Linked DNA regions of Rattus norvegicus. The protein of the gene in region 1 purifies or fractionates together with the protein of each later gene. This does not show direct contact. Links are inferred from orthologs where the notes say so. Each region holds a gene or a part of one and is shown on either strand. Other genes may lie near its edges.

Region 1 (5,886 bases):
GCTTTTATAGACTTAATAAAACCCAGATGCTAGCCGACACGCAGGAAGCAAACACATCCCCAAAGGAGCTGGCCTGCCCTGAAGACAATCCCCAGAGTCTGTGGAACTGTGGACTTCGGGGAAACAGTCTTGGCTGAAGCTGCTGTTGGGGCTTCAATTCTACCCGTGGGTGCTGTTCAGGACTTGGTGAAAACACTAACTAAGCTTGCATTTCATAATCCTTCCTGCTTTTGAATCAGGGATCTGGTGTCTCATGCGCGGAGGCTGGGAGGCTCCTCTGTACCAGGCTGGGCAAGTGCCCCTGAGAGGGGCATAGAGGGAACAAGGCTGCCATACCACACCGGGGAACCCCCCGGTTCTAGGACTCTGTCAGTGGAAAAGCACAGGGTACAGACATACTTACTGCCGTTCATCATTTTGTCCTTAGCCAATGGGTGCGATGTAACCTTGCATCCAAAGCCTACTTCGTGAGCCAGCAGGGCCGTAGGACCTAGGAGTAAGATGTAAGAATACGCATGAGAGGTTAGAGAGAAACCCTGTGCTGTAAAACCAAAGCACAGCCCTGTGAGCCCAGGGACATGGGAGGCAGAGGCAGGTGGATCTCTGTGAGTTCCAGGCCAGCCTGGTCTACAGATCCAGTTCCAGAGCGAGTCCCAGGCCAATGAAGACCACATAGAGGGCCCTGCTCCAGAAAAAGAGAGAAAAAACAAACCAAAACCGCTTAGCAGGAAAAGTATTCTTCTAAATCAAACACCTAGAGCGTGAATAGCCACCACTCTAAATACCATGGCTTACACAGAGCATCTGCAATGAGCCTATGTGAGCACATCTGGTAAGGTAAGCATGGCTGCCGTCCCGTCATGGAAAGCAACTAACCACTGTTTGTTTCTTTTTTTGGGGGTGGGGGGTGGGGGGGGAGTTAATGGCCTGATCACCACTGCCATCACCTGAGCCTCTGATGAAGACCATGCCAAGTTAGCTCTGGGAACTGGCAGCAGACAGGGCCCCCCCTCCCCGCCTCTTCCTACAGCGCCGCCTGGTGGACGCCTGAAGGACACCCAGCCAACTAGAACTCCTTGGGTTCCAGGTGAACCCTTACACCCCAAGCTTCTGACTCCCAGGGCCCCTTCCCCTGCAAACTTCCCTCTCTCTCCCTGACTCATCCTCAGGAAAGCCTCCCTGCAATGACTTTCTTCTGGACTCAGCAGCACCAAGGGTGAGGCGAACAACTGAGACCTCCTGCTGATGAAGACAGGCTTCATCACAGAGCTCCGTCCTCTGCCCGAGTCGCCCCGGTTTTTCTGTTTATCCTTCTGAGACGGTGACATAGGACTGCTAGTTTCTTTTTTTAACACTGACTAGGTTTGGAGGAAGGGCTGGCCCTCAGGCCTGACTGAGCACAAGCAAGCGAGCAAGCCAGCTTCAGCTGCCGACATTCTAGTCCATGACACGGAAGACGATGACACTGCTGTTTACTTTCAGCCAAGTCTAAGGAACAAACCCAGGCAAACCGTAGGGAGGCTGGTCACCCAGACACAGCGAAAGACTTCCCGTCCAGTCAGGACAGGACGGTTACGGATAGCAACCATCAACCAACAGAAACCCCTGAGCTGTGGCTGTGAGAGCTCAGGCCGGGGCCCTGTCAGGGGAGCTGATGTGCAGGGGCTCCCACTGGCTCTCTACTGTGCACTCAAGCAGCAATCCCTGGATCCCGATGCCCACAACCTGCCACTTCTGGGAGTAAGACTGGCTTCCCATGTGTGTTTTTGGTGCTGGGAACAGAGCCAGGACTTCCCACACGCTAGGCACATACAACTCAGCCATGCTAGGGCCTGCACTGGGGACTTACAACTTATCCTCACGTTTTCCCTTCTTTCTTTTCTTCTGTGGAGAGAGGCTCTCCTATGTGGCCTAGGGTGGTCTTAAACTCACAGTACTCCTGCTTCTACCACCACGGCACTGCGGTTATAGCTTGGTCTCCTAGCCGGTCCAAATGGGGAAATTTTTTTAAATTTTTATTTAATTTTATTTTATATGCATTGGTGTGGGGATGTCAGATTCCCTGGAAGTGGAGTTACTGACAGTTGTGAGCAGCCATGTGGTTGCTGGGAACTGAACTGCAAGAGCAGCCAGCGCTCTTAACTGCAGAGCCAACTCTCCAGCCCCAGGGAAAGTTTTAAAACAGCAGAGTATAGCATAGTGCCTAGCCTGAAAGATGGCTTCGACAGGTGCCGTCATCTCAACAAGACACAAATAGCCACAGAGGTCCCTGCATCACCTGCTTTGTCCCTTGGGGGGAAACCAGGGCACCAGAGCTAGGATAGAGTCCCTTGATCCCCAAAGAAACCATCCATCCCTTCAGTCACTGTCCATTTGTTCTGTGACCACTTCAGGCATCGGATGAGGAAGACGCCAGATGCCAGAACATCGCCTGATGTTAAAGCAACAGCATGGATTTTAAGTGGGCCAGGAAGCAAACGATCAGAGTTTCAAGGCTCAGGACATGGACGAAAGCCCTCATCTGAAGCAGGAGTGTTCAAGAGCACTCAAGCCAAGGCTCAGTCATGCCCTAGAGGCAGGCGAGCCCGGGGAGATGTGTGGCGTTTGTGCCGGTCAAATTCTTGCTGACTCTCCTGGCAGGCCTAACTGCTGGCACAGAGATGTGCTGGAACAAGCTGTCTGCTGGATTCCAGAAGCCTTATTTTCCCTGAGGTCAACCAAACAGGGAAAACACCGAACTTCACAGACAGCGACCCAGGGCACAGAGACAGAACGCTCAACAATTGGGCTCAGTGCTGCCGAGACAGGAGTTCATGCCACCCAAACCAAACAGCCAGTGTGGGCGCCTTTTGGCTTCATGAAGGCAAGCTGTGTGCAGTCAAGCCCTGAGAGACTGGCCAGTGCCTCAGCCGCTGCATGCCCCACACCCGCACTTACTCACCCGCACAGATGGCAGCTATGAGGCCCTTCCTGTTCTCCTGCTCCTTGAGGATCTCCTTCACCAAAGCCGACTAGAGAGAGAACCCAAACGCCAGTCACCACTGAGACTGTCACTCCCAGCCTAACTCACTTCTAGCCGTTTCCCAGAAAGCGCTCTAACCAGCTTCCCAGTGTGTCTGTGTTCTCAAGCCTGGTCAATGGCATTCACTCCAAGAGAAAGGCCCAATAAAGACTGGAAAGACAAAGCAAAGTCACTAAGACACATAACCCTGTCCTGTGCTCCAGAAGAGGCAGAAGTGAGGGGACACAGGGTTCAGCAGCTTCAGATGGCAGAGGGAAAAGACCCCCAGGAGGTACAGCCCACTCCCTGCTCCTGCCTCTCCTGCATGACTCTTCACATAGAGCTCGAAACAAAGAGCAATGGCTGCCTCTCATGTCATCCTGTCTGTGGTCCTGCAGCTGTCCTCAACCCCGATGACAGAGCAGGCAGCACCTTCTAGGCTTAACCCACTCTGCTGCTGCAGCAGCTGGGAAGCTTGCAGCCTTGCGCCAGTCCACACTCGCCAAGCCTGTGTGCAGCAGAGATCTGCAGCGCTGTTCTCAGAACTGTGTGGGCAGGCTGGACTCAGAGCTAACCTCTGCTGCTTCTCCTGTGCCTACAGCACATCCTGAAGCATACCAAGGCGACAAGGCAGAAGCTGTGAGTTTCTCCACAAGCTTTTTTTTTTTTTTTTGTGACAGTGCAGTTTTTACCTCAGATAAGTTCTGTGCACCCAGATTTCCTCCTGGAAGAACAACCACATCGTATGGTCCCTGTGAGTCGGGAAACAAAAGGGAACACTTCAGTTTTACTGTATTAAATGGCAGCCCAGTATCTGCCAAAGAACAGCATGTATGCCTGCGGGGTGTGAGGGGTGGGGTCTGGGGGTGGAGTTATATGAATCTCTGTGGTAGAGCACATTCTTACCATGCTTGAGGGCCTGGGTTTGACTCTAACACCAAAAAAAAGTAAGTGCCAGGCATAGTAGTGCACACCCATAGAAGGAGGTAGAAGCAGGAAGGTCAAGGGTTCAAGGCTACCCTCAGCTACTTACTAACTTTGAGGCCAGCCAGATACCAAGACCCTGTCTCAAAACAACAATAACAAACCATCCAAAATGAAACAAATAAAGGTGGTAAAGGTGTGCACCTTTTGTGGAACAAAAAAAACCACTGTAAACAAACAAAAAAATGCACTGACACGGGGCCCAACTGCCTCTAACTCCAGCTGCACAGGACCCAACACCCTACCTGTTCTCTGGGGTGTGTGCTGTGCGTGCTCGCTCGTTCTCTCTCTCTCTCTCTCTCTATATATATATATATATATATATGTGTGTGTGTGTGTGTGTGTGTGTGTGTGTGTGTGTGTGTGTGTTTTAAAATGCAGAAAAATCTGTGATGGAAAATGTACGGAAGGAAGCCCAGGGAGCATGTGTAGTGTAAATGTACCAGGGTAGAGAGGAAACAGCGCCAACCACAGGGCCTTAGGGAGCCACCACACTCATGTGCACCAAAACAAACAGATATTCATCAACACCACAGATGCTCGCAGACGAAATACACCCAGCAGTGGACAGGGACCAGCCTGAGATAAGAGGGGTGCTTTATATATGTTTATATATAAACTTTATATATAAACGTCTCTACCATGTGACTTTTTCAATAGAAAATACAGGCAGTGTACTTTTAATAGCTAAAAATAAAAACCCAAATATTAAAAGGCAAAGAAAAAAGTTAGCATTATGAAACTTTGGGAAGAGAAAAATCACAGTATCCTAATATCTTAAACATTCGAACACCAAAAAAAAAAAACCTAATTAATTTTAAACATGGTGAAATTAAAAAGTACAAACAGAGAGAGAGAGAGCGAGCGCGAGTGCTATCATAATAGTATACACTGTAGTACGTGCCATCCACTTAGTCTTTGTGGTGCTGGAAATGGAACACATAGCCTTCCTAGGCAAGTGTTCTCCCACTAAGCCACACGCTGCCCACCCCACCCACCTACTGACTAAGGGTTCCAGAGCCTCCACCCAGGCCAAGTCCTTCTCCTAAAGGAAGTCTGTTCTAACTGCTGTCACAGACAGGGCCAAACGCTGTTTCAAAGAACTAATGAGCTCCAAGCAGGAAGAGTCCACGTGGACAAAACAAACCTGTGTTTTTGCTTCTTCCAGACTGGTATCCGGACAAATCACTACATCACGGCTACACTGCACGGGGTCCTTCCCAGCCAAGCCTGCAACGGTGACTTTAATCTAGAGACAGAACAGGTATTCAAGAACAGGAAAGCACGCACAGTGCGGGGCAGCAACTCTAACACCCATTCTGTGGTTTGTAAGTAACTCGTTAGGGAGGACAGGACCAAGCCCAGGCAATGGCAAATTCCTGGTCTCTTCTGGTTTACCCGGAATGGCCTGGCTAGAACACCCTCTATTCCTCAAGTGTTGGGTCTGGGAAATGAGTTACCGGGCCATCCTAATAACCCACCATGCGAGGGTCACCCTTGTTATCAGTCAAACCTCACATGCTTTTCCCAGAGCAGAAGTGCACACCAAACAACTAAACAACACTTTATCCTGCAAAACATTTAGTAGGGGACATTGGAGACAACTTGTCAAAACCCAGTGACGATGACTACACAGTCTTGGCCCAGCAGCGCCACCTTCAGGTGCAGAGCCTGAACAGCCATCCTCACATTTGCGCAAATGAACCCCACAAGAGAACATTTACTAAGAGGGTGCAGAGGTGGCCCAGTGGTTGAGAGCATCAGGGTTTGGTTCTCAGCGCCGACATGGCGGCTCACAACCACCCACAACCCTAGAATCGGGTATCCTTTTCTGGCCTCTTTCCGGTCCTGGGCACTTATGTGGTGCACAGCCATGCGGGCAAACATTCATATGCACACAA
Region 2 (5,886 bases), on another chromosome or scaffold:
CCCAGTTTAGGGGAATACCAGAGTGTTGAGGTGGGAGTGGATGGGTGGGAGGGGAAGCATCCTCATAGAAAAAAAGGGAGGGGTATGGGAGAGGGGGGAATGGGGAAAAGGGGTAACATTTGAAATGTAAATATATAAAATATCCAATAAAAACTTTACAAAAAAGAGTAATTATAGTAAAAGATGTGTACAAATGCAATATTATTCAGTCCTCAAAATGTGTTTACAGATAGAGAAATAATTACATTTGCCACAGCATAGATAAACCTTGAGGACATTATATAATGCAAAATAAACCAGATACACAAATGTACATACTTTGTGATCTCTCTTCTCTGTAGAACGTATTCTAAAATAACATCCAATCCATAGAAACAGGTTAGCATGGTGGCTACCAAAAGCTGGGGACTGGGAAGAAAAAGCAAGATGCAGGTAATAAGTTATCAAGGATAAGGAGAGGGGAGGAAGGGAATACCCATGAAACTTAACATGTGACACAGTTCTTGCAGTTAATAATACCTGACTGTTAGCACAATAAGAGAAAAAGTCATTTAAGGCATTGATTATGTTAAATATCTTGATTACTACAAGAACTTTGGGTTGTATGAGTACTTGACATAACACTGTGCTGTTAACATGTGTTAGAAGATAAATACAATTTTCTACAGTTTAATAATTGTACCTTATTAAAGTTGGGGACAAATATTACCTTAGGCACCGCAAATCAGAGATGAAATTACAAAATAATAGGACCGAGAATGAACTGTTACTGATTAGTTCCGAACAAGAAGGCACAAATATGAAGAAAGGAAGGAAAGAAGAAAGTGTGCCTGTTCCCTTATCATCGAGGAAGCAATAGGACAAATACCCTCAGAAAGCATGTTGGGTATATCCAAGGTCACTCTAGATTTCCCCAATGTTCCTGATCCTTGAGACTCCAACAACCAAAAAATAAAGTGTGGCTAATTCCTTCTATTAGACAGCTGTGTATGAGCACTACTGATCCAAACCCTCTTCTCCAAGTTTCTTACAAATGGGCCAAACGGGGTCACTGACAATCAGTTAAAAAAGTAAAGGAATACATGGACTGACCCTGGGCTCCAACCTCATAGGTAGCAATGAATAGCCTAGTAAGAGCACCAGTGGAAGGGGAAGCCCTTGGTCCTGCCAAGGCTGGACCCCAATGAATATGATTGTTAGGGGAGGGCGGTAGTGGGGGGAGGATGGGGAGGGGAACACCCATAGAGAAGGGAAGGGGGAGGAGTTAGGCGGATGTTGACCTGGAAACCTGGAAAGGGAATAACATTTGAAATGTAAATAAGAAATACCCAATTTAATAAAGATAAAGAAAAAAGTAAAGGAATATGTGCTTGTTTCTTTTCATCGAGATAATTTTAACTAGAATCTGAAAGATGAAATAAAATATCTCAAATTTCATTAGAAACAAATTCAATTCTATTTAAACTCTAGATATGTATAAGCATCAAGAAATACAGCCATACTCACTGGCTTTTATGTGAGTATTCCATGAGTGATGAGACCTATTCAGAGCTTCAGTGCTGGACTGGGCTTTATCAGCTTTCTGATAAAGTAGCAGCACTGGGAGCTCCCTCACTGCATAAGAAAGGGGCTTGGGCACATAACACAAGCTTTCATCGCTACCAAATGGCCCCTGTGCTACAAAGATCAACCATTTAAGCACATACCCGCTGGGTTTCATCCCAATTTTTTTTACTGCAATTTCTGTTTATGGCTTCATTTTTATATTAGAAAATTTTAGGAACCTACAGCTAATTCCCTTAGGAGAGATATGTGCAAATGTTTCATTTTGTAACATTGTTAGATTTCTACTTTAGAATACTAAGCTAAGGAGTGGTATTTTAAAAGGTAGAAAACGAGTCCGAGTTGACAAAATGTGAACTGTTTTTAATAAACCATCTGTGACTTTTAATGTGTATTCTGAATGCAGGCAACGTGGGAAATGGAGTGAGGCATACGTCCTGGCCTGTATACATTCGGAAGCAGTAAGTTTTTCCACTAACTCTACTATTGCTCAACCCAGTCTATAGACAAAGGAAGGTATGTCTTGCTGTCATAGCTAGGCAAGTGATACCGCAGATAGATGTGTGCAAGGGTCATCAGGTAACTCACCTGACACTCACCTCCCTTCTACAAATCCCATATTCTTCATTGTACAATCAGGAGTTGGTTTTAAATTGAGGGTCTGTTGATGGCCTTCCTTTGGTGCTTTGGTGCATGTGTGTGTTCATATATTTTTCAGACAAGTGGTTCCCTTTTTTTCATTAGATTGTCAATGAATCTACAATTCCATTCTAGACTCCTCAATATTAAACTGATGTCTCTTAAATTTTGAAATATGGTAAAGATAAACATATTATTACAATTTCAGATGGAAAATAGGCATTAATATAATTATTACCACAAGCAAGATTACTACAATAGCATATTACACTCAAACAAAGCTGACTTCATTAGTCCTGTGTTCACATTAGCAACGCACTTCTCTGAGCACTCCCTAGATTATCTGGGATTGCACTTAATTGCTCTAACAATGGAACTGTCTGTGGAAAGCACATTATGGATTTCCCAGTCCTTTATCCATGAAGTTTATCTTGCCACCTAGGATGACTGAGATAAAGAAAGAGAGACTGAGATAGTCTGCCCACAGATGAAAGTGTCTTTCTTTTGGGTTTTATGATGTCCTCTTCAGAAGCCATTTGATTACAACTTTTGAATCAGTCAATACCCAAAGGTTTTAATAGCATCTATATGATTATTAATACTCAGAAAATTGTCATTTCTCCTTCTTTCTATCCTTAATAAGCACTTAGTAAGCGCTGAATTTGTAGTTAGTAACTTGCCTAGGCACATGAAGTATCAACAAACAAAATAAATATTTACATTATGATAGTGCCTACCTAGACAAGGAAATCTAAACAACATATTCAAAATAAGTAAATTATTAATTTATTTGAAATACAATGACACTTTATCGAACAAGAAGAAATAAGAGTAGAAAGATTAGGGTTTTCATGGGTAAGAATGGTTCCAACTTTAAATAAGTCAGGCATTTCAAGGAAGGTATCATTTAACAAAGACCCAGGAGAAGAGGAACTGAGAGCAAAGTGCATGCTTTGGGGGAAGAGCACGGGGAGAAGCCCGGCCAGGGGAAGCTGGAGTCCCTCAAAAAATGTAAAAGGACATGTGACATAAAAATGCAAAACTTATCCTACTGTAAGATCATGAGGGTTGTGAAACATCTTTTCGAATACCTAGAATATGTCACTACCATCCTATATTCATCCAGAAGCAGATTTAAAATTCTGATAATGTAAGAATCACCATATGAAGCCATGGTCTGTGTTTGGTATGCACTTTAAGTAGCCCAGTTTGCAAAATCATGTTTGGTACTGAGTAGTTATGTGATATGCAAATATGTCATTTCATAAGAGATTAAGTCATTACAAAGAAATCAGATAAAAGATCTTCGTCCTGGAAATTTAGAAATTACTCATGAAAACATTTTCTATTGCCATAAAGAGGAATTCCAGACCCACCATTCCCATGAAAGCAGCCATTCTTTCTGAAATGTCACTGATTTCTTAGGGATTACTACAGTGTTCAGTTCTGTAGCTTTCCTCCAGAAACTATAACAATCGGGGTTATTGTACAGTGTGCATGACCTTTCCCAAGGAAAACAGTGCATCGAAATAAGAGCCTTTTAAAGTCAGCCCTTCCTCATATCGTATGCATGCTTTCTTAGGCATGCAAGGACCATGGTGTCCAGGGTTATCACTGTAGCATAAAACAGGCAGCCATACCTTGCCCATCTGGTCCTTCTTGACAAAACCAGTGGCAGCAGCAATGTTCCCAGCTCCCTCCACTGTCTTCTGAGCGACTGCTGTCACACCAGTCACCACTGCCCCTCCAACATTTGTCACTTGTTCTTTGGTCTTCTCAGCCACTTAAGAAAATCAAGAGTGACAACAGATTAAAAGATGGTGGTGTCACAGAGACCTGACCAATTCCACTTCCAGCAGCTGTCGACTTCTATAGGCACATGTACCATAGGTAACAGGAGTCTGAAGAAACAGGACAGCAAGGTAGAAGTGACATGTTTCAGCCAAACACTAAACATGAGTTTAGTGCACAAATTAGAAAATATTCAGAAGTTAATTATAATCCATAACAACAAGTGAACTGGATCTGGTTTGCGTTGAAGTGAGAGGACAGAAAACATTGCATCCAACAGTGTCAAGTGGTGAGTCTGAGCACCTCTGCATGGTTTCAGCTCTGGGACCTCACTTCCCAGGGTCACTTCCATTATCCCTTCTAAGTATACACTTCAAACATATCTAGCGTCAATACTTTGAAAGTCCAAAATCCAAAATGTTCCTAAATTCTTCACTTTTGAGCAGCACCAATGTGATACTAGCAGAAACTTCATAGCATGAATTTTATTACATTTTGAGAATTATTCTAAAATGGTTAAGGTTTCTATTGCTATGAAAAGACACCATGACCATAGAAATGCTCCTAAAGGAAAACACGTCATTAGGGCTGACTTACAGTTTCAGAGGCTTAGGCCATTATTGTCATGGCAGCATGCATGTAGGCAAGGTGCCGGAGAACAGAGCTGAGAGTTCTACATCTTTATCTGCAGGCTGCAGAAGTGACCGTGTGCCACACTGGGCACAGAGTGGGCACATATGCCCTCAAAGTCCACCTCCACAGTGACACACTTTCTTCACAACACATCCGCAACAAAGCGACACCTCCTAAATGATGCCACTCTCTATGGCCGAGCATTCAAACACATGAATCCTTCGGGGTCATTTAGAGCATGAAATTGCCCTCAGACAATATGTACAAGGAATTTGAAATATAAATGCATTTCACATTTAGACTTGCATTTCATTGCCAACATGGCTCACAGCGGTGCATATATTCCCAAACCTAACAGCTGAAATCTCAAACAAGTCTTTCCTTAAACCGCCTTTCATACAAAGGACCTATGGGTACATATGTGCTCTTCATAGATTTTGGAGATAACAAAGGAACATGGTAGAGAAAAAGGGTGCATCTTTTAAAAATATTTAATTTTAATTATATATATTTTCTGGCAGGGTGAAGTATGTGCACAGTTATGCAAGTACACAGGGATGCTAGGTGGTGGTGTCACATCCCCTGGGGTTGAAGTTGCAGGAGGGTGAAAATCTCCCAGCATGGGTGCTGAGGACAAAATTCTGATCCTCTGGAAGTAGCCAGTGCTCTTCAGCACTGAGCCATCTCTCCAGACAAACAAAAATATTAAGACAGAATTTCAGTCACATTAGTGATAACACAGTATCTAGAGCTTTATTAAGGTGAAAATGAAGAGATTTGCTGAGTATACTTTTATTTTAATTTCGTAAAAGGAATATGGTTGTTTAACATGTCTTTAAGCAAGTTAAATTCAGAGATGATGCTATGAGTATTTCAGGTGGGACTTATAAGCAGAGAATTACTTAGATCAAAAATTTTCCATCCCATCCGAGAAGTACGTTCTATTGCTAAGTCACTCCTTCTTTTCTAGTCCCATGTACACATTATAGAAACACGAAATAAAAGTAATGCTGTTTCCATTGACTCCATAGTACCATGCAAGAAGTGAAAGACAAAAGATTATACTTTTAAAATAATTCTACATTAACCAAATAAATAAAAGAAGCTGTCTGCGCCTGAACCTCTGCACCCTATTTCCACAAACGCTGGCGTCTCCCACCTGGATGTCATGTTCGCCTTTCATTACACTACAATTTTTTTTGCTTTTGTATAAAATTTCAGACTGTTAGGTTTTTGAGTTCATATTGTCCTCTATTCTCC
Region 3 (6,447 bases), about 650 kb from region 1:
TATGTGGGTCCTGGGGGTTGGACGCTGAGCCTCATGTCTGCACAGCAGGCATTTTCCTAACTGAATCACCTCCCCAAATATCTTGGTCCACAGTTCCAATCTCAGCACCTAAGACTGAGGACTTGACTTCAGTGTAGGCTACATACACAGGAAATCTTATGGCAAGATAAACTAATTATCGTAAAAAGCGCTTTTCATTGGCAGGCGAAAGCATAAAGATTCTAAAGAGCTACAGTTAAGACACCCGTCTTGTTTGACTGTTTAAATGTCAATTTAGGGGGTTGGGGATTTGGCTCAGTGGTAGAGCGCTTGCCTAGGAAGTGCCAGGTCCTGGTTTGGTCCCCAGCCCCAGAAAAAAAAAAGAAAAGAAAAAAAAAGTCAATTTAGGGGTAAAGCTGCACCAGCAGGTGGAGCCATCTCCTGCTATCAGACACCTTGTCATGCACGATGTCACCAGCAGGTGGAGCCAAACCCTGCTATCTGACACCTGATGCTACCTAGCATTCCTGGTATTCACCAGGAAACATTGCCAGAACACAGCTGAGAACCCCTGGCAAAGACAATGGCGGCCAACAAGCAGGCACATGCTGGTGATTTGAGGATCCCTCATTTCCTGGGACAACGGGTAGGTAGGGCTGGGCTCTGGTGCTTGAATTCTGAGTCACACAATGACTCAGCCCAGACTGGTGAGCTTGTGAGCTCTGTAAGACGTTGCTACATCTTCCCCAGGCCTCTTTCCTATGGCACCCACTACATGCATCTCTACATCTAGATGCTGGAATCAGCAGGGGTGGGCTTTTTTTTTGTTTTGTCTCTGAGTAGTAGAAACAGGGCCTTGCTATGTAGCCCAGGCTAGTCTCAAAACTGGCAATCCTCCCTCCTGAGCAGGCCCAAGTGCTGAGATTTATGGTAGTCGCTGCCACACCCAGCCAATCTCTCCTTGCAATGCTGTGATTTAAATTTAGGACTTCCCACATATTAAGCAAATGCTCTGCCAAACTATATCCCCACTCCCTTATAACACACGAGTTCCTCACCATGGGTAGCTTGGCCTAGAGGAAAAAGCAGAGCTTCCGGGCTGTCTCCTTCCTTTCATGTGGGGAGAGAAGGCTTCCCCCTCCATTGGCTGATCCGATCAGGAGGCCAGGCTTCTTCAGGAGCCAGGGCTTAAGCCCTCCCTTACTTCCCTGCCCCGGTGACCTACCCAACCCACATCCTGTCTTAAATACCAAGAAGCAAAGCCAGACATGGTGGCAGATGGCTCAGTGGGTGGAAGGCTCAGAGGGATCAGAGTAGATCAGACTCTGCCTTGCTTCCCCATCACATTATCAATAAACTGTGGTGCAAGAGACCAGGAAATAATGTGGGTTCGTGTACCTTTTGCGGTGTAGAGATCCACCTCAACGGTGGGATTCCCGCGGGAGTCAAAGATCTCTCTGGCATGGATCTTGAGAATGGACATGGTGAAGTTCTGTAGGGGGAAAATAGTTCATATATTACCCATAAACTCTAATATAGAAGGTTTATTTATCCCAAGAGATCACCCCCAAGATCCTGGACCTGGACAGAGAACAAGTGGGCTACGTACAGAAGTCACTTATAGCCCTCTGAAGCTAAGTGTTCTGTGGGCAATTAGGTAAATACAAACTGGACAGAACTATGTTCTGGCTGCGCAGCGAAGTGGGAAGTAACAGAGAAGGCAGGTCAGCGATTAAACAGACCTGTAGACCGGAGGGAAATGCAACATTGTGAAGCAGGGTGATTGTGGAAACAGAAACCCCAATTCATCAAGTTGTACCCATGGCAAGGGCAGAACATTCAGCAGACACAGATTTGATAACCAGTAAGAAATTGTGAGAGGAAGGCAGAATCCCAAACTCCTTGGCTGGTGGTCATCAGTACTGCCATTCTCTAGCCCGGTGGCACATGCAGGCTAGATGCCTAACACGTGGGCGGTCCTGGGTTCAATGGCCGCCATATTTAGGCAAGAGTTGACTTCTATTTCAAAGGGAGACCTTGTCTCGCCTTTAAAAGGTACCCAAAGTAGATGTCTAATTAGAAAACACCCCAGAGAAAGAGGATATTGAGCAACAAACAGCAAGTCTAAAAAGAAGGTCCCTTTCTTACTTCTTCCCCAGCAGGCTTTCCAAGAAAGGAATCTACCAAACGGCTTCTAGAACTAAATTGGATGAGACATTAAGACAATTAGCATTCGGAAGCTGTTATCTAAATAGGTTCCCTACACCTTTTCTGGTGAGGTCAAGGAAGCAAAGGCATACTTTTTGTTTCAATATAAGTTACTTCTGTGCTTGTCTTCTCTAAGACAAAGGACCTTTATTCACTAACCAGGAATAAAGTACCCACTTTTTATCCACTGTTATAAAATCTCACACCTGCACTTCCTATGTAGGCCAAGCTGACCCGAACTCGGTTATCCCCATCTTCAGCATCCCTAAGCGCTAGATTTTCAAGTGTGCATCACCAGGCCTGGTTCCTTTATGGGGGCGCGGGAGCCACGTGCCACCGCGGCGCTCTGCAGAGGCTTTATAACCTGTAGGAGTTGGTCCCCCCTTCCACCATTTGCATCTAGCTTGGATCTTTAAGCTAGGCAGCAAAGGTCTCTAATCAAAGAAAACCTCACCCACTCGCTCTATCGGGATTGAACGCCGGACTAAGGGCAGGAAAGTGGATCTAGAGGTCAGTCAGGCTTATCACCTCAGACTGGCTCTGGCCTACCCCGAAAGCAAGTCAGCTAAGGGACCACATTGTCTAGGCAAGAAAGGACAGGAAGTTTTCTTACGACTAGTAGCCACCCAGTAAGCCCGCAGCTCTTGCCTAACTCGGTCGAGGTCTCCTGAGGGCTTGCTTCCCACTTATTCAACGGGACTGCTGCAATTTCCTCTACTACAAGTACCTAACCGACACTCACTGGTCAGTAATATTCCAGAGCAGAGATGGGTTGGACCACTCCCGCCCAGTGACGCTCGATTGCGGTTCAGGAGACACAGCCCCAGCAGGATCTACTAGGGTGGGGCGCTCTGCCTCTTGGGCATCCTTATTTATCGCCCTTCCATTTTGAGAAAAAATTTAATGAACACCGGGGCGGGGGTTAAGTCGCTCTCTCCCTCAAAAACCTTCCACTTAGCTACATAGAAACAAGTACTTTTTTATTCTCCACGGCCGCGATTATCCGTGGCCTGCATTTACTGTTGTCCGCTTGGGTACCCGGTTACATTCCAACCCTGAAGCTCGGTGGTGACTGCGAGGGCCTGCACCTCCACCCTCCAAGAGCCTGCGTCCTTCCACGAGGCTGACCCGAGTGCTCCCAGGGTAGCGGCTCGCGCCCAGAGTAGGGGGTGACCGAGCTCACCGGGTCACCAAGAGGAGTTCCTAGGCGAGCTGTGCCCAAGGGGAACACGGACCATACCTGGCAGTAGGATCGCTGCGGAGGAAGGAAAGAGGGTCCTGGAGACACCGAAGGGAGTCTTAAGGACAAACGTGAGCGCGACTCGGTACCGGAGCAGCACTAAGCGCCTCCCACTCCGACTTCCTAGCCTGCTCGTTAGGCCCCACCCACTTCTCCCCTTTCGAGTCCGCCCACCCTCCGTGCCGCCACTCCATTGGCTCTGCCTGCCGTCACTCCACGAGAAGAGCGTGACCAAGGCGGCCGCTTGGCCTGCCCGGTCTAGGGGCAAGGGCACGGGGGCGGGGGTTGTCCTTCCTGGCTGGCCTCGCCTGCCTGAGGCATAGGCGGAATGCCGGGCGAGCCTCCGGCTGGGAACCTGGGGCCTAGCTGAGGGTCTACAGAGCCCGGATGCCGGGCGGGGCGGGGCTGCACGGCAGGCATGAGGGCTTGAGCCCGCGGCACGTACTCCGAGTCCTACACGCACTCGGCCGGGCTGCAGCGCCTCACGTCCGGCCCACGACCTTGCTGATGACCTTTAGGGCTGGGCCTTCCTGTGGGCCTCCCCCCCCGCCGGGAGGTGCTGGAGCCCCCGGCGGTGTGGAAACGTTGATGCGCGGCCTAGGGGCCTCACTCCCGCGTGGAATTGACGGAGGGGGGGGCATGTGCTACTGCGCCTGCGCACTGGGCGCCCCCCGCCTCCACCAAGTCTGGTCCTGGCTCTCTGGTGCCATCTGCCAAGGTGACCCCGTCCTTTTGTCCTTTCTGTAATGAGTCTCAGGCCGAGTTACCCAAAGGAAAGTAAACTTTCCCTTAATATTACCTACTCATTTGTTATTGTGTGGAGGATACCGAATCCTACCGTCCAACTCATGCTAAGTAAAGGCAGTACCTTTGTGCTACACCCACCCAGCCACTCCACCCTACTCTAGAACTTTCCCTGTTTTCTGCGATGTGCTAGCTCAGTGTGGATTCATTCTCTATCTCTGTTACTGTCCCCTTCTTGAAAGATTTAATAATACCTTTCCCCCATCAGTGGTCTAGATGAAACCTCCCCGGACTCTTCAGATCCATAATCGTGATTAGAGTTTGGGGTTTGATGTAGTCCCGAGGCATTTCTCAAAGCTTTAGACTGATACTACAAAGTGATGTGACAAATGTCCGGAAGGGGTGGGTGGAGCCATTTTACTTTTCTGATAAAGAAAATAAAGGTGGTGTTTAACCACAGCTGTCGGGAGGCAGAGTCTGGCAGATCTCTGAGTTCAAGGCCTGCCAGGTCTACATAGTGAATTCTAAGTTAGATAGGACAAAGCAATGAGACCTTGTCTCAAAAAAAAAAAAAAAAAGAAAAAGAAAAAGAAAGAAAGAGAAACCCTGTCTCAACAAACAACCAACAAAAAAAATTTTTTTAAACAAAACAAAACAAAAAACAAAAACCGTGTCTTAGAACCCTTGAGATGGCTCAGGGTCAAAGATACCAACAGTCACACCTAGTAGTAACCTGAGTTTGATTCCTAGGATTCATTCATTCTAACAAGCTGTCCTCTGACCTCCATCCCCAACCTCAAAATGTAAGACTAATTAAAAAAGAAAGAAAGTAGCCATCAGATTGAGACAAGCTTTAGCTACTAAGAGGGCTGATCTTGTCTCAAACACTACAAAAATTGGCTCTCAATTTCTGCAAAGCACACACTTCACTGAAGGGAACACATCTCTTTCTGTTGTGTTTTCTCCACATTTCTCTTAGGCTGTAGTCTGGGAGTTAATGTCCTATGTTTCTATCTTTTCTGTATTATCTGTCTTTCAGGAAGAGATTGAAATGTGTTCTTGACTGGTTTTTATATCTTCTAGTCAGCTACAGGAAGCTGCTTAATAACCCTTAGCTTTCTGCTCCAGGCAGCTCCTGACTGAGGTTTCTAAGGCACTGGGTAAAACTGAAGGGTTATTGAGTCCAAGGTGTTAGTACACGCAACAAGTTTCCATTGTTAAAGAAGCAAGATCTTTGGGATTAAATTTAACGAGGACCATCAAGGAAATTGTAAAATGATTTGTGACTTCACCAGCAATACACTGATGTGTGGTGGCTGCGTACATCGAATGTCTCTAGTCCCATGACTCAGCAAATAAATCAAAAACCTTCTCCCAAGTTTTATAAGAACCGGGAGAAATCGGACACTCTGAACTCTTCTGTGTGAATCTAAGACCTCGGCACTGAGAGGTCTCCTGACAACCTCTTCACTTTACAGTAAAATGGCTGGGGAGATAAAGATAGATTAAAACAGCTGTCTGCTAGACCCAGTGAATCAGGCAAGAATCTAAAACGGAACATTCGCTAGGCAGCTGCTGCCGCTGCGAGCTTTCTGAGGGTATCCACACAGGGAAATCCTGAGCCAACATTTCAACCTCAAGCTGTAGTGGGAATCTTTCCACAAGCCTTGCCCTGCCACATGCCCTGTGTCTCCGTGGCTTTCCAGGCTCTGTTGCAGGCCCTGCTCAGAGTCGCCTGCAGTCAGCACAGGGTTATTTCCCTTATTACAGACATTCTGTTGTCATTTCTCACAGACAGTAGCTTGCTGGGCAATTGCATGGCAGTGGCAGACCAAAGGCACGGGGAGAGGAAATGAATTACCGAGACTTCGGAATGTTAGACTTTAAGGCCTTGCCCGCAGCTGGACACTAGACTGAAAAGGAGACCAGCATGTGTCCTGTGACCCACCTGTGAAACCTCTAGTCAACTGAGAAAATGAAATACCTCTTTGTGGAAGGAGGACCTAGGCCATGTAGCTCAGTTGGTAGTGAACCTCGGTAGCACACACACAACCCACAGAATAACTCGGGGATAGTGGCATGTACCTGGAATCCCAGCAACCTGGTAGAATCGGGAGGATGGGGAGTTCAAAGCCACTCTTGGCTATAGAGCAGTTTGCTGGGCCCTGCAGAATGCTCCTGTTGAAATTTGTTCTTTTTGTGCTCATCTGCGTGTGGTGAGATTCGGGTTCCGATTCAGTTTGCAAAAATAAAATAGGTCTGGTGAGGCCCAGTGG
Region 4 (6,416 bases), on another chromosome or scaffold:
TCCATGTCCTTTAGACATTAACTCTTGCTTTCTCACATTCCATACTGTTAAGAATAATATCCAACCAAACAAATTCTTACAGTAATTCAATTTTGCCTTCAGCAAATAAAAGTAGCCAAGTTATTACTTTCATAATGGAATTTAACTTGGCCAACCTCATTGCCAACACTGACCAGCACGAATCTTCAATGATCATTTTAATCCCTGCCCCCAAACACAGAAAACCCTAATGAGGAAGCAAGCCCTCTGGCTTATCAAAACTAATATGAGCACCCCTCTCGGAAGAGCACTGACTTTTCCCCTACTGACTCGTTTTCACATCAACATTGGGCTCAATCAAACCACAGCTCTAGAAATTAAGTGTTATTAGTCATTTGATGCAATATTTGATACTGCTTTCTATGCATACCATAACTAAAAGTACAGGTCTGGATTTCTAAGCCACATAAATTGCACATGCAGAAGCCCATGCACTATGAAATCAAATAAGGAACTGCAATCACGTCACTCTCATACTAAAAAAAAATTTACAAAATAATCTTGAAGTCCTATGGGAAGGGCAAAGCAAAGCAGAAGTGTACTTTGGAAGCTTCGAGAAGTCTATCAGGCATTCTAGATCTTTCTTTGAATGTGGGTTTTTTTTTTAATTAAATAGGTACCTGACTATTCCTTCTAGATGAAGATTACTATCATTAATTTGTACCAACAGTAAACTGCCTTGAAGCAAGTGACAACTTGGAATTTTCTCCAATTATCTTTTAGAAGGGTCAAGTTCACCCTGAGTGAAGCTTTCTCAATTAATGCAAACTCAAAAATTAAAGATTCCTCTCAAACTGTATTTTTAGCTTGAAAGAAAATTAGCCTCTGTGAAGCCAGCTCTTCAGTGAGCTTCATCTTCATTTCAGAACAAAAACTCCATCAAAATTAGCTATGCTTTTTACACCATTAACGCAATCCATCAAACCTCTTCCAAGTGAAAATTTTTCTTCAATAAATAAAGTGTCCCATAATGCTATTAGCCGGACATGTATAGACAAGTTGCTGCTGTCCTTCTATCTTATGAAAATATCTACTAATAGTAACTAAGAAATACCTTTTGCAAAGAATATCTTATTACTGATTACGCAATTACATAATTTTAACTAAATACTTACTGTTCACTTCAATGCTTGTCACATAACAAAATTTTGGGTTGTAACAAAAGGCCCAATCATTTAAAGGCTGTTTCTTCAGACCTGCAACTTGTGTTTTCACACACCTGACACACTGGCCTCCCAAAACCTCTCAATTTCTGTCAATACTTCCCACTCTGCAAAAGAGGAGGCCTCTCTTTCCTACCCCTGCCATACCTGAAACTGCAACGGTAAATGCTTTAAACCACGAACTTTTGAAGTACAAAGACCTAACTTTTAGACGATCACGACTCTACGCCGTTAAAATTCTTGGGTTTCTCTTATTCAACAAGCTGACTCAGTAAATTACTGTATGCAGAGAGCTAGCATACCTACAGTCTGGAGATGGTGATCCATTCTTGCCAGTATGTCTGGCTATTAGCTGGCTAAATTATATTTGATGTTCTACACAAAACAGGGTAAAACACACAGATAAGTCAACGGGTCAGAGCACCTGAAACCAAAAAAAAAAAAAAAAAAAAAGCAGCAAATTCATGCTACTCCTTAAATCTCACGTGAGAGCTGAGTTTAACCTCTGCAGTCATTTGCCATACAGACACAGCATCCCTAAACTCCCACAGACACCATCATCTGGGATCAAAAACTACTCCATCTCCATTCTATCATGTATGGCAAGGCCAAGTGAATGAACATACTACTGAAATGCAAATTTCATATCCTATCCCACGCCCCATCAGGAAAGTCTAATTTAAAAAAGTTCTATTAAAAGCTCCAATAATACTATTGATTTCAAACTACAAAACTTCTAAATGCAGCTCCAAAGTTGTAATTACCTCAGTTTAAACACACAAACCTACTTCTACCCTCAAATGTGCACGGTCTAGGCTGAAGATGACCATGCTTATAAAGTTATGCAAATCAGTCCACAAGTCACATTTTAGAAAAATCTTCCAATGCAACCCAGGAAACTAAAAAAAAAAAAAAAATCACTGCAAGATTCTGAGGCAATATGCCTACGTGCTGCACGGACTTTCATTTTAATCTGATCTATACCCTAGATCTAGGGCCTAAGTCACGATCTAATCGAAATATGCACGACACCACAGCGTCTATTTTTTTTAGTTCATTTAGAAGGCTCGATTGACGAGCCGACTAATCCAGTGTACAGTACTCTGCATTAACGGACAATAGATTTTAAGAACAAACCACAGAGCTCGACAAGAAACCAATCCGTGCCTTGACACTTGCAAGCAGGCATGAGTTCCGTCTAGCCGAACACTCCCTAGGTTGAATACACTGGAAGAGACAGAAAATACACGATCTAGAAACGCGACCAGTATTAAACGTTATAGTCACCCCAACTACAGAAAATTTTCGCATCCGTCTACTCCCACGTTATCAGAGTGACAGAAAAGCAAAGAGGAACAGCCGCAGAAATGGATACAGGTCAAGTCTAAGTCGAATCCATCCTCTTGATATCTCCTTTTGTTTCTGCTAACGATCTCTTTGATGATGGCTGTCATGTCTGGGAGCCTGTGGCTGAAGAAAAAGGAGGAGAGAGATGGCAGAAGCTGCTGGTGGCGAGGCTTCTTCTGCAGGATGGAAATGGCTCTGGACTTGGCGGTCGCTGATGCCCCTCGCTCTGCTGCCGCTTGGCCCTGGACCGCAGCCGGGTAATGGCTGCTGCGGCGGCTGCTGGATGGTTGCAGCGACTGGGCCTGCTTCTCCTCAGCAGCCAGAGGCCTGGCAGCCGAAGCAGCGGAATGGGGAGAAGACGGATAATCCTCGCAGCGGCTGCCTCCTCCGGCGGCCTCCGGAGCCCGGGCCAGGGGGGGTGCGGCGGCGGCGGACGGGAGGCTTAACACCGGCCCGGGTCCCTGGACGTGCCGCCGCCGCCGCCGCCGTGTTGGAGGCAGGAGAAGGGGAGAGAGCAACTCTCCGGCGTTCCCAGCCCTGGCAATGGTGACAGGCGACTCCGACCCCCTCCCCGGAGCCGCGGCCGCCGCCGCCGCTTCTCCCCCCCGCTCCAGGAGCGGGAGGTGCAGCCGCCGAGCCTGCGCCGGCTCCCGCCCGAGCCCACGGCTTCCACCGTCTCTTTCCGAAGCTGCTCAGAGGCTGCCCGGTTAGAACAGACGACGAGGAGGCGAGGCCCGCCGCCGCTGCCGCCGCCGCCGCCCGGCCGGCTCCCCGAGGGCGCTGCCCCCGCGGCTGCTCACAGGCGCTGAGAGGGGCTCTGGGCCGCGGCCGCCGCCGTCTCTCATCTCCCTCGCCTGCGCCGGGCCTGGCCTCACAGCGGCTCAACTCTCAAACTTCCATCATGGCTGCAGCTTCCGAGAGGAGAGAGCTGAGCGCAGCCGCGTCCCGACGCCCAAGCGCATATCCTGCCGCAGTGCACAAAGAGTCCCGCCACATCACCGTGCGCCGGCCAGCCCGCCCCCTCCGCCACCCAGCCGGGAGAGCCGGGCGCCTCCGAAGCCGGAGGGAGGCGAGAGGCGGGCGCCGAGCCGGGGGAGGGGCGGGGCGGGGAGGGGCGGGGCGTCGGTGGGACAGGGGCGGGGAGCGCCGCGGAGCATGCCCAGTGTGGCCGCGGCTCGCTCCTGGAGCTACGCCGGCTTCGGCCTCAGCGCAGAGACCCGGCAAAGGGTAGGGCAGGTTGTGGCCGAGCGAGGGTGCGCGGAGCAGGATCGCTGACCGCTCACAGGTGGATCGGACTAGCTGACCGCGTTGGTCAGCACCCTAGGAACCTCAGGGCCAGGTTCACCCTTCCTGCGTAGGTCCCTGTGTTTCTTTCGAGCGGCTTGCACGCCCTGCCCTGCGCTGTGGTCAGATTGCAGTGCTTCCTAGGATTTGTCGGCGGCAAGTCTTTACCTAGACAGCGCACCTCACCCCCACGGTGTCCTCAAGGTGTCAGTCTTTGCACAAAGAACAACCCCCTATTGTGTCTCCCGCGTGGGTCACCTCATCGGGCTCCGGTTCCCTGCCCCGCCTCTTGCTTCCCAGGCAGCTGGGTTCATTTGCCCGAAAGATGAACGCTCCCAGCCAAGCATGATGATTGTGCATACGGGGCGTGTACATTGACATCTGCCCCTGAGTTTCCAGGGCCCAAAGGACACCCCTGGGTAGACAAAGTGGATCTCCGTGAATAGAGTGCACCTCACACACACCCCTCCACCTCCCGGCGAAGAGCCCCGCAGCTCCCCGCAGCGGTAGGTCCACCGGATCACAGTCAGGCTCCATCTTCTAGGAGATAAGCCGCCCCTCCCCCTTCGTGGCCGCTAAGAAAACCCGGCAGAATTGGATCGCGGTGGCCAAGTTCTGACCCTGTCGGACGGTGCACGTTCGAGGACCCGGTTACTGAGCCCGGGTGTGGAGTATGGGACGGTCGGAAGCTGCAGCCAGCGAGTGGGCGGGGCGAGCAGGCCTGGGAGGGCTCAAAGGCTAGGTGGAAGGATACATGAGCCGCAGTCGGAACTACTTTCAGGAGGAGGTCACGTGTGGTCCTAGTTGGGGAACTTTCCAAATTCCCATTCCCCTATCTGTGTGCTCCTGAGGCAGGAGCTTGGTCCCCTCTTCTCTATTAGATGATCTTCCGGGACCCCATGCCCCGTGTAGGCAGCTGAACCCCTCTCTTCGGAGTCAGAGCGGAGAATAGCACCCACGAGCGGTCCGCAGGAGCGCTGTCGGGGCCAAGCGCCTGGGGAGCTGGTTACACAAGCAGCCACATCCAAGCACGTGCCCCCGCCACCCCTCTCTGCTGGCCGCCGCCGGTTTGTGAACGCTGACGCTGAGAGTCCCCAAGCTGTTCCTCCCTTTCGCTTGTAACCCATAGAGCTAGCCAGAAGGCCGGGACACGAGACTTCTGCTCTGGATCTGCCCACACCGCGCGTTCCCAACCGTGGGAGAAAAGGCAGGGCCCTAGGGGGTTTGACGCATCTCCGCTTAATGAGGTGAACCCTTTCTAGATCTGTACTCGTGGGGCAAAAGGGTATCTCCTGTTGCTGCTGGCTGCTTGGGCTTACCGATGTTGCAACAAACTTCCAGTCACTGCCCCTGAACTGGTGAGCGCGCCCCACCTACCGTAGACTCAGCCAAGTGACTTATCTGAGCACCTAGTCAATGGCTGTCAGCCCAGAACGAACCTGTCAAGTAAAAGCTTACTGCCGGGATTGGCTGACCTGTCGCGGTTGAGAGAGCTGGTTCAGAAATGCTGATAACTAGCGCACAGCCCCTCCTCCCCCACCAGCCAGCCACAAAGCAAGCGATCACCTTGAGCTTGGAGAAAAAATGACATCAACTCCGATGTAGGTAGGGATTTCTTCCTTATTGTTCTTTTCCCAGGAGACTTAGTTCTCGGGGTGGCAATTTGAGTTCTAAAGTATTTCTGACCTGAGACCCAAGCTGAAGCCCTGGGTCATTTTAGAAATTTGGAGAATAATAATCAGTTATCATGAGTATTGCAATAATTGCGAGTAGGTGTCTAGGAAAGGCCAGCTGAGGGTTTATGAAGTATAAGAGAAAGAAAATTTCGTTATGTCCACGGCATAGTTGCAGGCAGCCCCTGAAGCCTAGAAACCTCAAGAGGCCAGGCTCAGAGAGCTGTGGGCCATTACCTAACTGCAGGACTGCTAATTAAACCAGGGATATTTACAGTTCTATTAGAGCTCTCTGAAGCTACGCAAACCTTGCATTTAGATGCATCCTTTAAAGAGCTCTCTGCAGGATTAGCTGCCCCAACTAAGAAAGCCTGGATGTTTATTGCAGGCTGTTTGAGGGCAAGGTTCTGTTCAGTTGAGGGAGGGATTGCAGGGATGACCAATGAGAGCCATCTCAAAGCAATAGATGAGAGGGCTCTATTTGGTTTCTAAAGATGTAAATAAATTTTACTCACACAGCCTAATCTAAGATGGAGATCTGTTTTACACAGAATCCCCAATGCCAAAGTGTTAGCTGAGATACGTAGTAAAAACCTAAATTGTGCTCAGTAGAGTGTCTACTACTGCTTGGTGGGGGAAATAAGGATGAATTTCCATCAAGAGAAGTAGGTTGAAGAGGGGAAATGGCCCGCATATGTTCCTGTCCCCAGAGTCCCTGTCACTAAGCTTCTTTTGCCTCTTCCCTGGAGGCATCTTGTGTGACTTTCCTCTGAGTGTCTAAGAAGCTTGGAAATCATCCTCTAAAGAAAAAGACATTCATCCCTACCCTTCCTGATGCCTGGCTGGAGGAAAAAGAATCCCTTTCTGTTTCCAGAGCATCACTGTAGAGCACAGGGATGCACATTGTAGC
Region 5 (6,348 bases), on another chromosome or scaffold:
TGGCATAGGGTGTTAGCCCCAAGGGGGCAAAGCTGGAGTCTGGGCAGTGCCACAGCCTGCTGGCAGGGCCAGGGCAATGCCATCCGCCCCTGGGAGCAGGCTTCATGCCCTCCCCTCCCCCCTTTGGGGGGGATTGTCAGAAGCCAGGAAAGTGAATGCCCAGGTGTGGGCACAGTGCTGCCCCTTGCAAGCCATAACGTGCCCCCTCCCAGAGTGTCGGGGGCCTTGCGGAAGCCATAGGGGGCTGTAGGGGATGTGTAGGAGGCAAAAACTGATCTCAGGGAGGGAAGGGGATGGAGACCACAGTCTCCCAGTGGGTGATGCTTTTGCTGCTGCTTACTCCGACCTCCTCTCCAGAGCAGAGGGGGGCTTGGAAAGCAAAGGCCCTGCCCCTTCGCTCCTCTCCTCATTGCATTGGGCATTAGTGCCCCCCCTTGAAGCAATAACTCCAAGCAGGCTCCAGCCCCTGGACCCCTGGGGTGGCCAGGGCCCCCTATCAGCTCCCACCTCAAGGGATGGGGGACAGCACTGCCTCTACGCCCTGCAGAGCAATAACACTATATTTATTTTTGGGTTTGGCCAGGGAGGCGCAGGGCCATGGGGCAAGCCAGGGCCCAGAGCCCTTGGCTGTACAGAGACTCTATTTTAATGTATATTTGCTGCAAAGAGAAACCGCTTTTGGTTTTGAACCTTTAATGAGAAAAAAAATATACTATGGAGCTCAAGTACACGGTGGTTGGTGAATCATTGGGGGAATTTGGGGGGTCACGCACGACACATCTAGTTAACAGACCATACAACAGATAACACACACAGTCACGAAACACCAAAGATGTGGCTAACAAGGTTACGTCTCGGTTTCCTCATCATTCAACAGCATATTGGGGATCCCGCGGCTGATGGGGAAAAGACGACCAGATTCTGGGCATTGCAGGGTGCCCTCCAGCACATCAACCTGCGGGGGAGCAGAGCAAAGCTAAGCACAGGAAACCTCAGGGGCAGTGGGGGGAGCTAGGCAGGTGATGAACAAGGATTCTCACCTCAAGCAACACATGGTGCATCTTCCTCAAAAACGTCTCATCGTGCTCATAGCCTTCAGTCGGCTCTTTGGGTACCTCGGCCAAGTTTAACTGTGAAAAGGAGGTTTACTTGGTCAGTGGGCACACAGACACCGAACCCACCCCGGCAGGGAAGAGCCCTGCCCCCGAGGGGTGACAAAAAGGGCGGGGTTCTCACGGTGTCCGCTGCCTGCACAAGCGCCGCCCACTCCACTTTGGGGATCATCCGCGCCACGAAGTCGGGGTTGAACTCCACAGGGTTGATGCGGACCTCGGTGGCCTGCGGGGAGAAAGGTTTGGCGAGGTAGGTCCGGGCCCCGAAGTCTTTACCCTGAACTATAAGGGGCGACAAACCTTGTGCAGTTACCTGCAGGCGCAGCGGGAAGCCACGCGTGCCCACGCCCCGCACATGCGAGCTGAGGAGATTGTGGGTGAGCAGTTTCATGTTGTCGCACCGGAGCTCCGGAGGCCGGAACCGGAAGGAGTCCACACTTCTCTTTTGCGCCACTTCCGCTGCTGAAGCAGTTGGCTACTTCCCCGGACCGGAAGTGGTGCACTTAGGGGAAATTTTGGGGCTTTGCGGCAACAGAGATGGGAAGAACTGTGTTGGGTCAAGTTTTGATACCGGAAGCGTTTCTCGGGAAGATTGCAAACCCCGCTCTCCGTAAATGGTACATATTATGCAAATCACATGTGTCGCGGCGCTCTGGTTGAATGTAAAACAAGCACATTTGAGGCTTAGCCAGATTACCCCCCGATCTCTGTTTGCAGTTAAGGGTCAGAAACGGTCACATCGGTAAGCCAGGAACTTCTTTCTGTATACAAATAAGGCGTGCGACCTCTGGAAGATCCGTCGCGTCACAACGCGTCACGGCCCAGCCCTATAAGCGGGCGTAGTGTGTGCGGCGTGCTGGTGTGGGCGGAGCGGTCTTTGTACCCACCTCCTGTGGGCAGAGTCATCTGCGGGTGGGCTGCGGCGGCGGGGCGGGCATGGTCCAGCTGAGGTTTTGCGTCCTAGGCAGCATAGCCGGATCGGTGCTCCGTGCATCGGCTACTTGGACGTGCGTGGCAGGCAGAGCAGGCCGGAAAGGAGCAGGTTGGGAGTGTGGTGGGGCCCGCAGCTTCAGCAGTGCCGCGGTGACTATGGCCCCGATCAAGGTGACCGGTTTTACCTTTCCTGGGTCCAACCTGTCGCGTCTCTTTGGGTTCCACACGGGGTCTCGGATCTGTCCTCCTCGACATTTCTTCTTGTCATGCTTTCTGTAAGACCTTGTCGTTGCCTTTCCGTCCTAGGACATTTCTTGAGCCGCCCTCTCAAACCTACTATGCCACTGCCAGGGATCATTTTCAAGCGACCGAATGCTGTGTCATTTCCCACATTTTTGAAATATCTCTTTTGCCGCTTGGTCGCTTTTCAAACCCTTTATACACTTCACCAAAGCCCCAGCCCTTTCCGTGTTGTACTAGACTTCGCCTCATCTTTTGCAAGAGCTGTGTGGTTCCTTGGAGACCGGGGTCTGTCTTTCCCACTTCTGTCTCCACTTTGTGAATGCTTCCCCGCCCCACTTCTGTTTGGTCTTTCTGGGAATTCTTGAACGTATCCCCTCTCCTGTTCTTGGACTTCAATTTTAGAGAAAGAGAGAGGAAGGAAGGAAGGGAGGGAGGGAGGGAAGAAGGAGAGAGAGAGAGAGAGAGAGAGAGAGAGAGAGAGAGAGAGAGATTGATTGATTGATTGATTCACTATATAGTCTTGGCTGGCCTGGAACTTGGAGTGAGACTGGTCCCAAACTTCTAGAGATTAGTCTGCCTCTGCATCCCCAATGTTAGGATTGAAGGCCCTTAAAAATAACAAAACAACTTTTAAATACCTACTTGTTTATGTGTGTGTGTTTGGTAACAGGCATGTGACTCTGGAGGTCAGAGGACAGTTTCCTCAGGAGTCAGTCTTTCTCGTATGTGGATTGTGGGGAAAGAACTCAGGTGATGAGGCTTGGTGGTGGGCAACTTTACCTACTCACTTCATCCTTTTCCTTTCTTCTGTGGCTCCAGGAAGCCTGGTGGGCTGACTCTGAGAGCCCACGTCCTGAACAGTTTTTGGCTTAGGCATCTTCCCTGGTTTTCCAACATGCTTCTCCTGGTGTGTGGGTGGGATTTTTCTCCTTCCCTGTTACTAGGTGCTTTCTCAACCCTAGACACAGTCCTCTGCATTCCTCCTCTGTGCCTTGATCCATCTTGGGTGGCTTTGTTTTCACAGCATTGCAACACTTGAGAAGGCCTCTCCCTTTCTCTGTTGCCACCAACTGGCCTTAAGCAGAAAAAGGCTTTGAAACATGTAGGATGTGGGGCTGGCAGGAGATATGGAAGATTGAGAGAGCAAGGACAGAAATGAACCCCTGGGACCAGATAGGCACTTTCTGTGCTGGGTATAAACACTGGCTCCATGAAGGTCTGTCTGTAGGGCTGTGGTCTATTTGGCCTCTCTTTACTCGGTCTTACCCTGGTGTCCTTTTCTCTAGGTGGGAGACACCATTCCCTCAGTGGAGGTATTTGAAGGGGAACCTGGAAAGAAGGTGAACTTGGCAGAGCTGTTCAAGGACAAGAAAGGTGTTTTGTTTGGAGTCCCTGGGGCATTTACACCTGGCTGTTCCAAGGTGAGATTTCTCCTTCTCCAGAATCAGAAACTGGAACCGGGAGCGTGGGAGAAAAGAACCCCGATAAATCTGATAGCTTTGATTATAGCTGCTGGTGGAAGCACTGTGAAAATCACTTGGGAGACCGGCTAATGAGGCAAAAACTTTGCCTATGGGATTTCATGGTCTTGACCAGAGATACTTAGGTCCAAGCTTCCTGGTAGCCAAGGCAAAAAGGAAGTGGTCTGTTTCATACTGGCTTCCTTACCCTGATCAGGGATGTTAGGAAATAGGAGGAGGAGCAGGCTGAGCAAAACCAGCAATTGTCTCTCTTTTGACTCTTTGTTTTCCTCTTAGACCCATCTGCCTGGGTTTGTGGAGCAAGCCGGAGCTCTGAAGGCCAAGGGAGCACAAGTGGTGGCCTGTCTGAGTGTTAATGATGTCTTCGTGACTGCAGAGTGGGGTCGAGCCCACCAGGCAGAAGGCAAGGTGAGGTGTGGGGCCTGTGAGGGGTCGGGGCCAGGTAGAAGGTTTCCTTGTTTTTTATTACACTTTATTTACTCATTTTGTATGTGGGGTGGGCACTTGTACCATTATGCACAAGTGGAAGTCGGAGGAGAGCCTGTGAGACTTGATTCTCTCTTACCATGTAGGGTCATGGGGATTGAACTCAGGTTTCCACACTTGCCAGCAGGCACCTTCACTTATAGAGCCCTCTCACTGGGGATTTCCCTGTGACATTTATTCTCTTTCCTTCAGGTTCAGCTCCTGGCTGACCCCACTGGAGCTTTTGGAAAGGTAAGCGTACCACCCTTCCTTCAGCCTGCAGTTGGTCCTGCAGGGACATGTTATGTGGGAGCAGCCCCTGGCCTGTTTGGGGGTTCCTGACACCCATTTCTGCCGGTCCCCTAGGAGACAGATTTACTACTAGATGATTCTTTGGTGTCTCTCTTTGGGAATCGTCGGCTAAAAAGGTAAAGTGGAAGTCCCCCCTCCCCCCACTGGTGTTGGCACTAGGGGCCCTGGCTGCTGCCTGGGCTTCTGCAGTTGTACCTCTTTCCGGCAGGTTCTCCATGGTGATAGACAAGGGCGTAGTAAAGGCACTGAACGTGGAGCCGGATGGCACAGGCCTCACCTGCAGCCTGGCCCCCAACATCCTCTCACAACTCTGAGGCCCTGACCAGAATGTCCTCTGACTCTCCCATCTCCTCCACCCAGCTCTGGGCCAAAGGCCCAGTACCTCCTTACCTGAGGGCCACTGGAATGGAACCTTGACAATATTTCTGCAATAAACAGTTTAATTTGTGTCTTTGCCTCTGGCATGGAATCGTCTGCTTCGCCCTTACTCACCGGTAGCCATAGATAGAGCTGAAGTCAGTGGCAGAGGTTTGGAGGAGAAAATGGAGGGACAGCCGGGATAGGTTTCCAGAAGGTAGCATCCTCTAAGCTAGCCTGAAGCTGAGAGGAAGCCGGAATTGGTTTTGCTTGGTACATCATGGGACAGCTGGCGCTTGGCCTAGGAGCTGGCAGACTCCATTGACTTTTTTTAAAAAGATTTATTTATTATACATAAGTACACTGTAGTTGTCTTCAGACACACCAGAAGAGGGCATCAGATCCCATTACAGATGGCTGTGAGCCACCATGTGGTTGCTGGGATTTGAACTCAGGACCTCTGGAAGAGCAGTCAGTGCTCTTAACCGCTGAGCCATCTCTCCAGCCCCCTCCATTGACTTAATACACAGGGCTGGAAGCTTTGCATTTTGTGAACTGCCATTCCTCCAGAAGCACCCTGGCTCTGGCTTGGCTTCATCAGAGCACACAGTACCAGGGTCAGGACAGAAGACTTCCCCAGGGAAGAGCCTTGGAGAGGTGTGGCCGGTGGGGAGTGGGAATCTGGGCCAAGAGCCAGGGTTGCCAGTGGGGCCTCAGGAGATCCAGATCCTGCTGCTGGCCTTTGGATCTATGTTCAAGGGAGCAGGGGGATTGTTGGGGACCCCTCGTGCTTGGGAGGTTGTACCCCAACAGTAGATTCTTACCAAGCACCTGCCTGATCTGTGTAGGCATAGTGAGGTACATACTAGGCCTGTCCAGTACTCTGGACCAAACCAGCTCTGCAGCAGCCAGATGGGAGGCCAAGCAGGGTGGAAAAGAGTCAGGCTGAGCTGGAAGGTAACTGGCCCAGGTTACAGCAGGCTCAGGCACTCTGGGCACTGGGGCTACTTGCTGAGGCCATCTGGTAGTCAGCAGGAATTGAGACCTCTGAGAGCAGGTTGCCTCCCAGTTAACCACAGGACTTCTCCAGGGCACAGGTCAGATTCAAATCTGAGCCAGTGAGTGGAGCTCGGAACTGGGAGCCAAATGGGCCAGGTGGGGCCATGGGCTCACAGGGGAGAGGCCTAGGTTATGATACTGGGGTCTCTTACTAAGGGACCCACAGTTCAGCCATCTGAGTGGTCAGTGCACCCGTCTTTTCTCCCGAGATTCATCGCACCCACCACCCTTACATCACTGGCCACTTCTCATCTGTCCTCTTGTGATGCTTGGGTAATGGTGACCCTGACAGGCACAGTACAAAGAGACTTGTTCCTTCCCAGGTCCCATCTCTCAGATCTTTACAGTCAAATGAAGGGGCTAAGGGTTGGGAATTTAGCTCAGTA

Evidence for each region.
Region 2: the proteins of Park7 (region 1) and Snca purify together in Homo sapiens (affinity purification with western blotting; 3 studies listed by BioGRID and IntAct, with this or other methods). This does not show direct contact. The link is inferred for Rattus norvegicus from reciprocal best matches to the Homo sapiens genes PARK7 and SNCA.
Region 3: the proteins of Park7 (region 1) and Eno1 fractionate together in Homo sapiens (co-fractionation; 3 studies listed by BioGRID). This does not show direct contact. The link is inferred for Rattus norvegicus from reciprocal best matches to the Homo sapiens genes PARK7 and ENO1.
Region 4: the proteins of Park7 (region 1) and Pten purify together in Homo sapiens (affinity purification with western blotting; 4 studies listed by BioGRID, with this or other methods). This does not show direct contact. The link is inferred for Rattus norvegicus from reciprocal best matches to the Homo sapiens genes PARK7 and PTEN.
Region 5: the proteins of Park7 (region 1) and Prdx5 fractionate together in Homo sapiens (co-fractionation; 3 studies listed by BioGRID). This does not show direct contact. The link is inferred for Rattus norvegicus from reciprocal best matches to the Homo sapiens genes PARK7 and PRDX5.

What each region holds. Positions count from the first base shown.
Region 1 is NC_086023.1:166,647,324-166,653,209, forward strand, and holds part of Park7 (Parkinson disease protein 7 homolog), read right to left. Parts: intron 5,235-5,886; coding exon 5,133-5,234; intron 3,754-5,132; coding exon 3,694-3,753; intron 3,012-3,693; coding exon 2,942-3,011; intron 491-2,941; coding exon 404-490; intron 1-403. UniProt on the Homo sapiens protein: Multifunctional protein with controversial molecular function which plays an important role in cell protection against oxidative stress and cell death acting as oxidative stress sensor and redox-sensitive chaperone and protease.
Region 2 is NC_086022.1:91,104,748-91,110,633, forward strand, and holds part of Snca (alpha-synuclein), read right to left. Parts: intron 3,986-5,886; coding exon 3,843-3,985; intron 1-3,842. UniProt on the Homo sapiens protein: Neuronal protein that plays several roles in synaptic activity such as regulation of synaptic vesicle trafficking and subsequent neurotransmitter release.
Region 3 is NC_086023.1:166,000,453-166,006,899, reverse strand, and holds the start of Eno1 (alpha-enolase), read right to left. Parts: upstream 3,540-6,447; 5' UTR 3,428-3,539; intron 2,180-3,427; exon of another isoform or gene 2,128-2,179; intron 1,472-2,127; 5' UTR 1,463-1,471; coding exon 1,378-1,462; intron 1-1,377. UniProt on the Homo sapiens protein: Glycolytic enzyme the catalyzes the conversion of 2-phosphoglycerate to phosphoenolpyruvate. In addition to glycolysis, involved in various processes such as growth control, hypoxia tolerance and allergic responses.
Region 4 is NC_086019.1:240,040,807-240,047,222, reverse strand, and holds the start of Pten (phosphatidylinositol 3,4,5-trisphosphate 3-phosphatase and dual-specificity protein phosphatase PTEN), read right to left. Parts: upstream 3,517-6,416; 5' UTR 2,657-3,516; coding exon 2,578-2,656; intron 1-2,577. UniProt on the Homo sapiens protein: Dual-specificity protein phosphatase, dephosphorylating tyrosine-, serine- and threonine-phosphorylated proteins.
Region 5 is NC_086019.1:213,527,689-213,534,036, reverse strand, and holds Prdx5 (peroxiredoxin-5, mitochondrial), read left to right. Parts: upstream 1-1,918; 5' UTR 1,919-2,048; coding exon 2,049-2,216; intron 2,217-3,574; coding exon 3,575-3,709; intron 3,710-4,045; coding exon 4,046-4,426; 3' UTR 4,427-4,447; coding exon of another isoform or gene 4,448-4,486; 3' UTR 4,487-4,600; coding exon of another isoform or gene 4,601-4,662; 3' UTR 4,663-4,754; coding exon of another isoform or gene 4,755-4,860; 3' UTR 4,861-4,995; downstream 4,996-6,348. Other genes in the region: Trmt112 (multifunctional methyltransferase subunit TRM112-like protein), read right to left, coding at 848-955, 1,041-1,130, 1,237-1,338, 1,426-1,503. UniProt on the Homo sapiens protein: Thiol-specific peroxidase that catalyzes the reduction of hydrogen peroxide and organic hydroperoxides to water and alcohols, respectively.